2 linked regions of the Cricetulus griseus genome follow. The protein of the gene in region 1 interacts with the protein of each later gene in a pairwise test. Links are inferred from orthologs where the notes say so. Each region holds a gene or a part of one and is shown on either strand. Other genes may lie near its edges.

What was found.
Region 2: the proteins of rap guanine nucleotide exchange factor 4 (region 1) and Swap70 interact in a two-hybrid assay, tested with the Homo sapiens proteins (2 studies listed by BioGRID and IntAct). The link is inferred for Cricetulus griseus from reciprocal best matches to the Homo sapiens genes RAPGEF4 and SWAP70.

What each region holds. Positions count from the first base shown.
Region 1 is NC_048599.1:102,904,785-102,910,848, reverse strand, and holds the end of rap guanine nucleotide exchange factor 4, read left to right. Parts: intron 1-2,813; coding exon 2,814-2,941; 3' UTR 2,942-4,042; downstream 4,043-6,064.
Region 2 is NC_048596.1:90,428,733-90,435,377, reverse strand, and holds the end of Swap70 (switch-associated protein 70), read left to right. Parts: intron 1-1,534; coding exon 1,535-1,733; intron 1,734-2,820; coding exon 2,821-2,917; intron 2,918-3,443; coding exon 3,444-3,550; 3' UTR 3,551-5,601; downstream 5,602-6,645.

The DNA.
Region 1 (6,064 bases):
TGTTTTTCAAGGCAGGGTTTCTCTGTATAGCCTTGGCTGTCCTGGAACCCACTCTGTAGACCAGGCTGGCCTCGGACTCACAGAGATCTGCCTGCCTCTGCCTCCCAAGTGCTGGGATAAAGGTGTGCGCCACCAACACCAGGCTCCATGCCACCCTTGGTGTGACTCAGTGCTAATGCCAAGAAACTAAGCAACCCTTGGTGAGTCAGTGCCATCGTTTATAAACCGATAAAGAAAATATTTATTGTCCCTCGAAAATGCACTCATATTTATAACACATTTGCAAATGTCCCCTGGCAGGATTCTGCATAACGTTTCTAGTATTCCCAGGTACTCTTTCAAATGTTGAACCTATGTCATAAACACCAGTGCTATGTTTTCATAGGTCTAAAATATTACTACTAACAAATGGCCATTTTAAACTGTCAAGTTTCCTTGTCATACCAGCTGGCCACGTTACATCGGTGCTGCTGTCTCTTCTGGCCTAGGACTCAGGATAAGGACTAGAGCTTTGCTCCTTTGGTCTGGTTTGGGAGAGAGCAGTGAACCCTTTGAAGTTTTGTGCTAATGTCATTATGTGAGTCATGTGAGAGGATTGGCATATTCACTCACCTCGATGAGATGACACAGATGTGACAGCAGCCTACCTCACCGTCCTCTCCAGTAGATCCTGTCTGAAGAGACTGACAGGTTCTTGTTTTAATAATCACAGTGGTATGCTCTTTGTAGTGTCGATCTGGCCCAAAGCCAGAGCTTGCTAACATAGAATGCCAGAACTACTCACTCTTCTTTTTTTTTTCTTAATGTTCAGGAGGAAAAAAAAAAACAATTAGAGAAAATAATCTTGACTTAGGGGGTGAGAAGAGCTTTTAAAAATTTAATTCAAACAACGGTGCCCTCTCGTTTCTAAAAATGAGAGCAGTCTTGTATGTTTCCAACCCTTCCTACATGGATTCTGCCAGAATTCAAGCATCTCACATCCTTTCCTATAGTAATTTACTATGTATGTAAAAGACATGGCCACAAATTGGCTGAAAACAAGGAGAAACAGTACCAGTCACGACAGGCTTTACAATCCAGAACCCATGTCCCTTCAGAGGGTTCCCAAACATTCTCAAATTACATGCAAAGTCCTGTGTGCTGGAGAGGGCTCAGAGCCTTGGGAACGGTTCGGGTAGGATGGGAGGGGCTGTTGTTCCAGAACCAAACAGGAGCCATAGTAGGATCAGCTTTGTTTCACAGCTTCTTTGGCAGGAAAGTCTCCTTTCTTCGTTCTTCGCTATCTTTGAGAGAAGTGAGGGGATTTTTTTTTTTTTTTTTTTAACTTGCAGTGCATTGTTGAACTTATCAGCAACTGCTGGTAAACAACAGCTGCTCGGCTCTGAAGTCAACAATCTATAGATAAAGCTATAGGAATAGATTCATAAACATTGTGGGGATGTATACAATGTAATTACAGTATATTGTACATGCAGAGTACACTGCCAGTGGGATGCGGGGGGAAATTAAGCACAATGTGTTCCGTAGTTCACTGTGGTATTATTTATATGTGATAATTATACTGATGAGTTTCTTCTTACGGCGAGCAGGGGCCTTTGTAGCTTGTCTCTGCCTTCTGTGCTCAGACCTGCTTCACTCCCCTCCAGCCCTGGATGCAGATGGCGTTCTGATTGTCTGGTGGAACAGTGGGTGGATCTAAGGGGAGCAACCGGACTTCAGAAGGCAGCTCTGGGGGCGAGAAGAGGGAACTCTGAACAGAGTCCAGTTTGGCCCTCCAGTGTAAACTAGAGGAAAGAGTGGTTCCCCCAGGACAGTCCGTGACCCGTGGGCTGCACCATAAACAGACTGCCCTCCTTCATATGGAGGAGTCGCCATTTAAAATCTAGGGAAATTTACAGGGGAGAAATTCAGATTCCTTGTTTCAAAAGGAAAGAAGGGAAAAAGGTAGGAAGGAAATGAAGGGAGGACCTGGCTATTCTGGACACAGATTCCTACGTGGTGATGGCATTCAGGAGCTAGGTGGCCACTTCCCAAGGCACTGTGTTTCCAGTTTTCCATTCTGCTGTTGAATCTGGCCTTCCTCATTCTTATATATACTATGTATTTCGACTATGGACATAGATTTTTTTGGAATCCTGGTTTGAATAAAATCCATTTACGTTTTTGACAGCCCAGGTACTCACATCAATAGATCAAAATAGAATGGTCAGCAGACTTTCAGAGCAAGTTGTGTCAGAGAAGAAAAGTTTACTAGAAGTCATCAGCCAGAAGGTAGCTTTGCCTAATCCAGACTGTGCTTAGGGGCGGGCATACAGTTAAAATGGTGCTGTAAGCAAAGGGGGGCTATGGGGCCCTATGCCCATTGGCTCCCTTCAGTTCAGTCCAGGTGTTAAGTGCTTTTGTGAGTTGCTAATGAAACTATATCTTTGACACTAGTCCTCATCTGGATCAAAGGAGGTGGAGACAGAGTGTGACACAGAGGTGGGCCAGGAAGGGAAAACAATTTTCATCTGTCACCAGGGCCATCAGACAGATGCTTCCCTTTTTATTTGGTGCCCTTTTTTTTTTTCAGCGTGCAATCCAAAGAAAAATGATCAAAAGAGATGATTCCAGGGAAGAAAAGAAAATCGGAGGGTAGAAGGCAGCAGATGGACCAACCAAGTAGAAATATTTCAGTGAATGTGGTGTGTGGAAAGGTCTTGGCAGAGCCCAGGGAATCTATGATAAATGTGATAAGTCAGTGGGGAAAATAAAGCTGCATCTTCCATGCAGATATTGTGCAACGCCAACCCTGCCTGCTATTCTTTTAACAGATCCCGATGCCGCTCAAGCTAATAAGAACCATCAGGATGTCCGGAGTTATGTACGGCAATTAAATGTGATTGACAACCAGAGAACTTTATCACAGATGTCACACAGATTAGAGCCTCGCAGGCCATAGAGTGATGTTTTGTCTCCAGTCCACAATCTTTCAAAAAAAAAAAAATTGCCGTGTATGCTACTACTGACTGTGTTGCCACTAGAGAATTCTTGAGAATGAACAGAGACACATACTGAGACCCCTCCCCCGTCTCAGGGCCACATCCAACTATCCAACCATACCAAGAGAGAGGAAGTGATTTGCCTTGTATGATGCTGACATGTTGTAGTTTAGGAGTCATCTGTTATAGCCACCCTCCTTCATTTCCAGCCATGCCATCACAGGCTCACATGAAGAAATAACATTGGTGAGGCCTACATCAAGCCCCTGACATCCCTTTCCAGGCTGTTTGCAGGATGAGACTGTGCCATGAGTGGGTTTGACTTAGATACATTGGTGATGATATAATGGAATGTTTTTTTGGTTTTACTTAGCACCTTGATTTGGGGCATGGGGTCTGGGGAGGGTGTGGAGGAAACCATAAAAGTCCAAATTATAGGTCATATTCCTCCATCTTCATAGTCTTACCTCGAAAGGAGTAGCACCTCACCACAATACTATGAAACATTATGGCTATTTGGTCTGTAATTTCTGAATGATCTATAGAATAATATGTTTACATTGTAACTTTTAAAATTTACAAATCAGGATTACATATGCAAGAATTCTGCTAAGAAACACTAAGGTTCTTAATATTGCCAGCGTTAAGATAGAAAATAACATTTCAGAAGAGCACAATATGCACAAAACGTTTTTCAAAATTGAAATATTTTCCTGGGCATTAAAAACCTTTCCTCTACAAATTTATTGATACTGATGAAAAAACTCATATTTTCTGGACTTAAATGTTATTACAAAAGTCTTAATTTTCAGCAATTGTTTTGCACTTTCAGATAGATTGTAAATAGGTCATGCGATCAATGGTATAGAGTTATTTATTTGCTACATTATAGACATTGTGCCAAATATTCCTTTTTATTTATTTTATTCAGTATGAAATTTTGGAGTACATTTTTTTTTCTTTTTTCACAATTAGACTACATCTAATGTGTAGGAATTGTATGTACATATCTCTTCTGTAAATAACAGCCAGTATCTTCATTAAATATACTTGACAAGAAATAGTTGTGTTGTCAGTTTCTTTGATGCAAAAAGTCTTACCTTCCAGTATGGTGAGTGCTGGGTTTTTTCATTTATTTATTTGTGTGTGTGTGCTGAAGACTGAACCCAGGGCCTCATGCATGCTAAGCACACACCCAACCTGAATTTGTTTTTGTTGTTTTTTTTTTTTTTGACTTTTTTTTATTTGAATTAGAAACAGGATTGTTTTACATGACAATCCCAGTTCCCTTCTCCCACCTGTCCTCCCCTACCCACCCCCAACTAAAACCCTACCTATCACATATCCTTTCTGCTCCCCCTGGATGGTGAGGCCTTCCATAGGGTGTCATCAGAGTCTATCATATCCTTTGGGATAGGGCCTAGGCCCACCCCCGTGTGTCTTGGCTCAGGGAGTATTCCTCTATGTGGAATGGGCTCCCAAAGTCCACACCTATGCTAGGGATAAGTACTGAACTTCTACAGGAGGTCCCGTAGATTTCCGAGGTTTCCTCATAGAAACCCATGTTCCTGGGGTCTGGAACAGTCCCATGCTGGTATCCCAGCTATCAGTCTGGGGAGCAAGAGTTCCCCGATGTTCAGGTCAGCTGTTCCTGTGGGTTTCACCAGCCTCGTCTGGACTCCTGTGCTCTTCACTCATCCTCTGCATCTGGGTTCCAGTTCAGTTCGGTGATTAGTTGTGGGTGTCTGCTACTACTTCCACCAGCTGCTGGATGAGGGCTATCAGGTGGCATATAAGTCAGTCATCAATCTCATTATCAGGGGAGGGCATTTAAGGTAGCCTCTCCTCTGTTGTTTAGATTGTTAGCTGGTGTCATCTTTGTAGATCTCCAGACATTTCCCTAGTGCCTGATTTCTCTGTAAACCAAAAATATCTCCCTCTATTAGGGTATCTCCATTCTTGTTATCATCTATTATGTTGTTTTTTAATTGAAACAAATTAATATACTAATACTAAAATTCACCCACTAGTGAGTAATCTAGTGAGTTATATTATATTCATGATGTTGTAAAACCATTGTCACTGTCTGACATCAGATTGTCACCTAGTGGAGGGGACAGTCATTAACATTCATCTCTCATTCTCCTTCCAACCCCAGGCAACCCTAATCTACTTTCTGTCGATAGGAGACTGCTCTGAACCTCCTATAATTGGGATCATGTAATACAAGCCTTTGGTGTCTGGCTCCTTTCATTTAGCATAATGTCTTCGTGGTTCTCCCACATTATGCCTTGTATCAGTAGTTCATTCCTTTATATGGTTGATCAATATGTGTTCCATGGATAAGCCATATTTTCAATCTTTCATCACCCTTGGCCATCAGAAATGCTGGTGAGGTGAAGAGGCTCTGGGGCCTCATAATATTTCTCAGTGTGAAGCTTTTAGTAAATGTTGAAAATGGAGGTATCTAAATTCTTTCTGTTAGGGATCTACCTACTTTTTTTTTTTAAGAAAGTCTATTTTTTTTTCATACTGTGTTCCAGGCTGTACTAGTCTTACAAGTTCACATTATTTTTCCATAGACAGAAATACAACCATGAAGACAAGAAAATGAAGATACTATCTTCAAACCAGTTTGGAGGCCACTGCATAGTATATCTATTTCTTACAAATAAGTCCTGATTCTCATTAATACATTATGGCTCTGAGAAGTCCTATTAAAATTTATGTAACACCCCACAATTAAAACCCACCTTGCCAAATACTAAAAGAGGTAAATGGTTTTCTGTGTTTCTTTATATAATATTTCAGTGCTCTAAAGAATAGCAGTGTTATTTCATGCAATATTGACTTCTGCCCAGAAGTACACACATGAAATTGGATTTACTACACAGTAATGATTTTTTAAGTCACAGAATAGATTTTCTTATAATCATGATTATTCAGTGTTTCACTGTGTCACAGGCCTCAATCAGCTGCAGAGTTTTCACTGTTACAGACTTCTAAATAATTTTTAAAAATCATTAATAAGGCCGACTGTCCATTCTTCATTGCTTTAACCTTATCCTTCTTCCTTTCTGCAT
Region 2 (6,645 bases), on another chromosome or scaffold:
AACTGACCCTCCTGCCTTAGCCTCCTGAGCGGCTGGGATGACAGGCATACATACACACTTGGCTGATTCCTTTCTCTAAAAATGAGGAAGCTGAGAAACAAAGGATGGAGATGCTCAAGTCTTTAGTCTAAGTTTAATTTGCAAACCATGGAAAGCAACTTGGATGAGGGAAGGCAAGAAGATGATTTACAGGAATGTTCTTAAATAGTTCTCTGGTCCTACGGAGGGATGGTGACCAGGCCTTGAAAAGTGGTAGGAAACAAGGGGATGGGACTGCCATGGAAACAGGTATGGGTGTTGGCACTACTGTTGCCCCTGCCACCAGTTAAGAGAAATTCTCCATTGTCTCTGGTTCTGTGTCAACTGCTTTTGTGTCAGAGTTCCAGGAGGAACAACTGCTTTGCCAAGCTCAGTCTTTGTTCCATCATGATGTGCTGCCAAGGGCATGTTCTGGGTGGTGGCATCTATCCTAGGAGATGGTGGTCCACCTCCCACGAGGACCCTACTGTGCTGATTCTCCAGCTGCATGAAGGCAGCCGAGCCCCCAGAAAGCCTACTCTCTCTCTGTAGGTCAGCACCAAAGTGAAAACACAGAGGCTCTTTCGGCCTCCTTCACTGGTTATCCCTAAGGAACACGTCACAGGTGCAATACTGAACAGCTGTGGACTCAGAGTGCATGTCAGGCTGTCTGCTGTGCTGGGCTCCATGGTGGATGCTGTATTCCAGATTTCTGAGGAGCCCGAATGTGTCTCCAGGGAGATTCTGAGTCTAGAAGGGACGGTGTGGTCCTTGCCTCTTCCCTTGCTGCTGCTGTAGAGAGCAGATGCTGCAGGTGGCAGTGGCTGCCATATGACTTGACTCTGTGTGGCTCCTTATTAGACTTGTGTTCTGACCATTGCACACTATCTGCATCTTGAATTCAGGTTTGGGCTGTGTGTTGGTTTATTTATTGAAATGCAGTTGGCTAATCCAAGCCAGGCTGTTATTACAGCTAACACATTGGCGTCACACATCCATGTTCGAGTCCATTGTGACCTGTGCGACGCACTTGCAGATACATTGCTTCATCTGTGAGGCGGGGCTCGATCTCCTGGATTGTTGGTAATGGGTCTTTAGTAGATGAAGAAATGTTTTAACATTGTAGCAACCAGGCAAGTTGCACAGCTTGGCCCCATTACCTGGCAGGTAGATGGCTTAAGACCCCACTTCGACATCTCAAGTGTGACTGCTAATGGCACTTATGTGCACTGTGTGAAACAGTGGGGAAAACACACTTGTCTCAGTTCCTGGCACACACTCAGCATTGCCTAAATGGTAATTTCTTTTTCCTTCACAGAGGGGTAAGACTAAGGACACTTAGAGCAGGATGTGTGGGCTGCTCCCTAACTGTGATGGATTCCTTTGGCTTCCAGTCTCCTTATAAAATGGGGTGGGGGTAGCATTACATGACTGAGAAAATGTACTCTGAAATGCTTTCCCATCTGGGTTGGGGGTCCACAGCAGCACATGACCCCGAGACTTCTCTGCATTACAGGTTGTTGGAGGAAGAGTCTTCTAAGAGGGCGGAATTGGAAAAGTGGCACCTGGCACAGCAGCAGGCTATCCAGACGACAGAGGCGGAGAAGCAGGAACTGGAGCAGCAGCGTGTCATGAAGGAGCAGGCTCTGCAGGAGGCCATGGCACAGCTGGAACAGCTGGAGCTCGAGCGGAAACAGGCGCTGGAGCAGTATGAGGTGGCTGGACTTACCCTGCACACACCTGTAACTGACTCCTTAGAAACCCTGATCAGCTAGGGTAGGGGTGGGGCGCTGCATCCACTCTGCAGAAACTTGCACACAAACAATAAAACTCCAGCGTTCACTTAGCAGAGTCTTAGCATAGAGAAGGAATAGGAAACTTTTTTCCCCCCAGAGGATGGAGGTGTCTGTCAACTCAGGGACCACAGAGGAGCGTGAGTGGGAAAGTTTACACAGTTATAAACTGTGACAGAGAAGTCCCCGCCAAGCTGTAGAACAAACTCTGAGAACCATGGGGATGACGGGTGTAGGCAGCAGCCATTGCCCTACCCTGAGGTAGAGCACCCAGGGGAGGCCACACCTCATTGGAAGGGCAGCTTACAAAAGAAAGTGTTCAGTTGGACTTAGGGTTTCAGTGGTTAGCGCCCATGATGGGAGAATGAAGGCATGGAGACAGGAGAAGCTGAGAGCTCATATCTTGATCTGAAAGCACTGCAATGGCTGGCATGAGTCATTTTGAAACCTCAGAGCCCACTCCCAGTGACACACTTCCTCCATCAAGGTCACTGCCCTAATCCTTCCCCAAATAGCTCCACCGACTTGGGACCAAACATTCAAACATCTGAGTCTATGGGAACCATTCTCATTCAAGCCACTATGACTATGGCTGTCCTGAGTGAGTGCCAGCAGAAAGAAGAGCCCCTTCCTCCCCATGTCCTTCAGAACCTGTTATTGTTGAAGCTGGGGCTGCCCCTATAGTGAGAGAATTAATACAGCAACAAGACAGGTTGGGGAAGGGCAGGCCTGGAGCAGAGAGGCAGTAAGCTGACAGTAGGGTCCTAGCATCACATGCATGAGGTGAGAAGAGCCTTGGAATCAGGTGGCTTGGCTCCCAGCCCTGCTTCCTGCATGTGACCGTGGGCAGATGGCGTAGCTCTCTGCCTGAGTTTTTGCTAATGTGCAATAGTGGTAATGGTAGCTCCTCCCCCTAGAGTAATTCTGATCATTTAACGATGGAATCCACAGGTGTACAGTAGGTGCCAGTCCACGCTACTTGGTTCTTAAACTGCCACTTTTGTTCTAGGGAGTTAAAAAGAAGCTAGAGATGGCAACTAATATGACGAAGAGCTGGAAGGACAAAGTGGCCCATCATGAGGGATTAATACGATTGATAGAACCAGGTAATAATATAACTATGATCTATTTTAACTTACTTTCTGTTATATTTATGTGATTGAGTTGTATTAAAAACAACTGTCTTAGGGGCACAGAGCCCTTGGTTCTATGCACAGCACCACATAAACTGGTACCTGTGACCTAGCTCTTGGATGTGAAGTGCAGGGTCACCCTTGAGATGGCTCAGGGTGAAGCACTTGCTCTGCAGGCCTGGCCACCTGAGTTCAGGTCCTCGGAACCCTCATCAAAACCTGGATGGGGGACATGGACATTTGTAATCCCAGGGGCCCTACAGGGGCCGAGAGTCACCATGAAGGCCAGCTGCTTCCTGTGAGTCTCTCTTGAACAGCTTGTCCTCTGTAGTCAGTGGCCCCAGGTGACCTTCCTGCATGTATCTTGCAGCTCTTTTGGCTGGTAAGCCTTTTGGGCATTCCTCAGAGACAGAGTAAACAAGTAGAAAAGTTGTTTTGTCCCTGGAGTGATGACAGGGGTGGAGGGTGTACCTGCATTGAAGGCATGCTTGTTGCTTAGGTTCAAAGAATCCTCACTTGATCACCAACTGGGGACCCGCAGCATTCACCCAGGCAGAGCTCGAGGAGAGAGAGAAGAGCTGGAAAGAGAAGAAGACCACGGAGTGACAGCTCTCCCAGTGGCCACCCCAGGCACAGTCACATCAGTGAGGAGCCGAGCTCCATGCCCAGGACAAGGACACTGGCTTTGCTGCTTCTAACCATCTTTCCTCAGGGCTCCAGCGGGGTCCACATGTTGAGGACACTGTATTTACCTTCTAGAGCTGTCTGAGCTTTCCTGGGTGAGAACATAGGCACAGGTGTGGCTGGGGCCACCTTCACTGTCACCTTCTGCAGCCCTGCAGCCGCTGATGTCAGCCCTTCTCTGCATAGGACGTCTGCTGCCTCCTAAGGCAGTGTGTCTCCTCCGATGGTCTGTTTGCCTTTCCCTGTCAGGTGACACGGCAAGCCTTCATTGTTGGTGCTGTGATGGACCTGGGCATCATGCACTTGGCATGCTTCATTTGCATTTCCTTTCCCCTCATTTCATAGCAAAACGTATCTTGACCCAGTGTCTCTACCCAGTTCCCTGGACATTCTGTCCCCAGCCCCCGTCCACGAGTGGAAGTTATTGATATTAGAGGGGCTAACTTGAAATCAGTGGTGATTGGCTAGTTTAGGAGGTTAAATGTGGACAGTGGGAAGCTGACAGTACGTGGGCTGGTTAGATGTAAAGTGTCACAGGATGAGGGCAAGCCCTTCCTTTAGCCAAGCTGGGATTGTGGCTTTCACTAGGATTGTGTCTCTGCTTTTCCCACTTCCATGGGTGACCAGGTCATGGTTCCTATGTTTTTGTTTTTTATTTTTTGTTTTTTTTTTTTTTGAGGAAGATTTTCTGGGATTGAGAATAGTAAAAGTAAGCTTTCCCATGCTAGTTGGAATCTATAAGCTCAGTGACTCCATGGACAGCCACAGTGCTTTACATTGTAAACAGAAGGGTGATTTCCAAGTTACAGAAAAGGTGAAATTCAGTAACAGAGCAGAGGACCCCGAGTGTCCTGGTCCTTGCCTTTCCTTGCCTTGGGGCAGAGAGGAGGCCATTCCAGACATGTGCAAGTCTAGAGATAGATTTCAGTGTTCCTGGTATTTACATAAGGACTGGATAGAATTCCATAAATCTCTACCTTTTATGACTGGAAAACATTTGCCAATGGAAGTCTCATAAATTTTTCTTAAGATTTTGGGCTGCTTAACTGTAATTTTATTTAATGTTTATAGTTGCTTTCATAGAGTTTAGATTTGTATGCAGAATATCACTGTATCGTGAACCTTAAGCTAACCTGGGTGTGGGTTTCTGCCTGGCCATTCATTCACCTCACCCACCAGTGTTTTCTTTTCGTTGCTGCTGGGCTATCAGATGAGGGGGCCAGGGCCTCCCCAGTGGCTTAATGATGTCTCCTAGGGGACTTCAGTGACCCTGGAGAGAATGAGGAAAAGAAACCGCAAGAAAGTTCTGACTGGTGTGAAATGTCTGGATGGAAGCTGAAGACCTGGGAGTCCAGGGGAGACTGGGGTGAAGGGACTGCCATGTCCTGGCTGGCAGACCATTCATTCCTCCTTAAGCCTGACTTTCTTTGAACACAGCCAGAAGCAGCGCCTGCTATGGCCCTCATTGTCTGGCCTGGGTGCAAGCCTGAATTCGGCCTGCATCCTGCTCGTGCAGTACTGTATGGGCTGTGCAGAGGTGTCTGCAATCTGTAGACACTGGCTGCAGCAGCACTGTGGCTGGGGCGTGGATAAAGAAGACAGCACAGATGTGGACTCTGCGACTCCCTTTTGGTCAGATGCTTTGATGCTCATGGATCTCTCCTGATCCTTGCTGTGGCTTCAGCTAAGTGCCTGTCGACCCCTTGCCTCACCTCTGTAATAGCTACAGGAAACTTCAGGAGTGCCTGTCTGTAGGCACTGTAATCAGCCCTTCCTACTGTTAGAGATAAGATTATCTGCAGGAATTGTGAATGAAAAACATTTTGAAATCTGTTTTGGAATCTGCCTGTATTGAGAAGGAACAAAATATTTATAATTTTAAGCATTTTTATCTAAACATTGTACAATGTAATATGCTCAACTTTCTTAATTTTTTTGCTAATTTTCTAAGATATTAAAATGTTTTTATGGGATTTTGTTTTGTTTTTAGTACAGTGAACTCAATAAGAAAATTAAACATACCAGAATTTTATACATTTTAAAACTGGTTTAATAAAATGGTAAAGTGTGTGTGTGTGTGTGTGTGTGTGTGTGAGAGAGAGAGAGGGGGGGGGGAGGAGAAAAGAGAGAGAAACTGAGAAGCCTCTGTAAAGCAAAGAACATAGTCAAGAAGACAAAATGGGTCCCTACAGAATGGGAGAAGATCTTCACCAACCCCACACCTGACAGAGGGCTGATCTCCAAAATATACAAATGGGGTGACTGGGACAATATATGAAGCCATTGGCAGTGGATCCAACACCTAACACTAATGCACAAACTGACTTAGTGGAGCCCATGCTATATGGAGAGATACCGTGCCCAGCCTAGACACAGGGGTGAGGGGTGGAGAGGTGCCTTGGTCCTGCCTCAACGAGATGATGGGATAGACTTAGTAGACTTCCTATGGGAGGCCTTACCCTCTCCGTGGAGCAGATGGGAGAGGGGAGTGGGGGATTGGGAGGAGAGGAGAGAGGGGGAACTAGGATTGGAATGTAAAAAATAAATGAATAAAATAAAAAATATAAATGGTAAAGTGTGTGGGTGTTTCCTAATTTCATTTTCATACAATCCTGTGGATGTGGTTTAGGGACACTCCTGAAAACACTGGCTTTGGGAGTCAAGACCTCAAGTAGTCAGCTGTGACCTCATGTTTGGTGTTTGAGTCACAAATGTGGGGAACTTGGCGGATGTGTCAGCTCAAGAACCTCCAGAGCTGACCTCTCTTCATTGTTGCCGTTACCCCTGAGCCTTTTACTCTTGACTGTTTTCTCAAATTTTCTTTATGTCTTTGAGTTTTTCTTTCACTAGAATAAACGGTGTAGTTTTCTATTTGGGTTTACCTGGTCCCCAAGATTGAAACTCTGACTGTAGATGAAGAAGGCTTTTGCTTAGCTTGACTGTGTATTGGCCAACTGGTTTTCCTCTTACGGAGGAGGGAGGGGAGTGGGTGTTTGTAAAACTGTCTTTCTTTACTG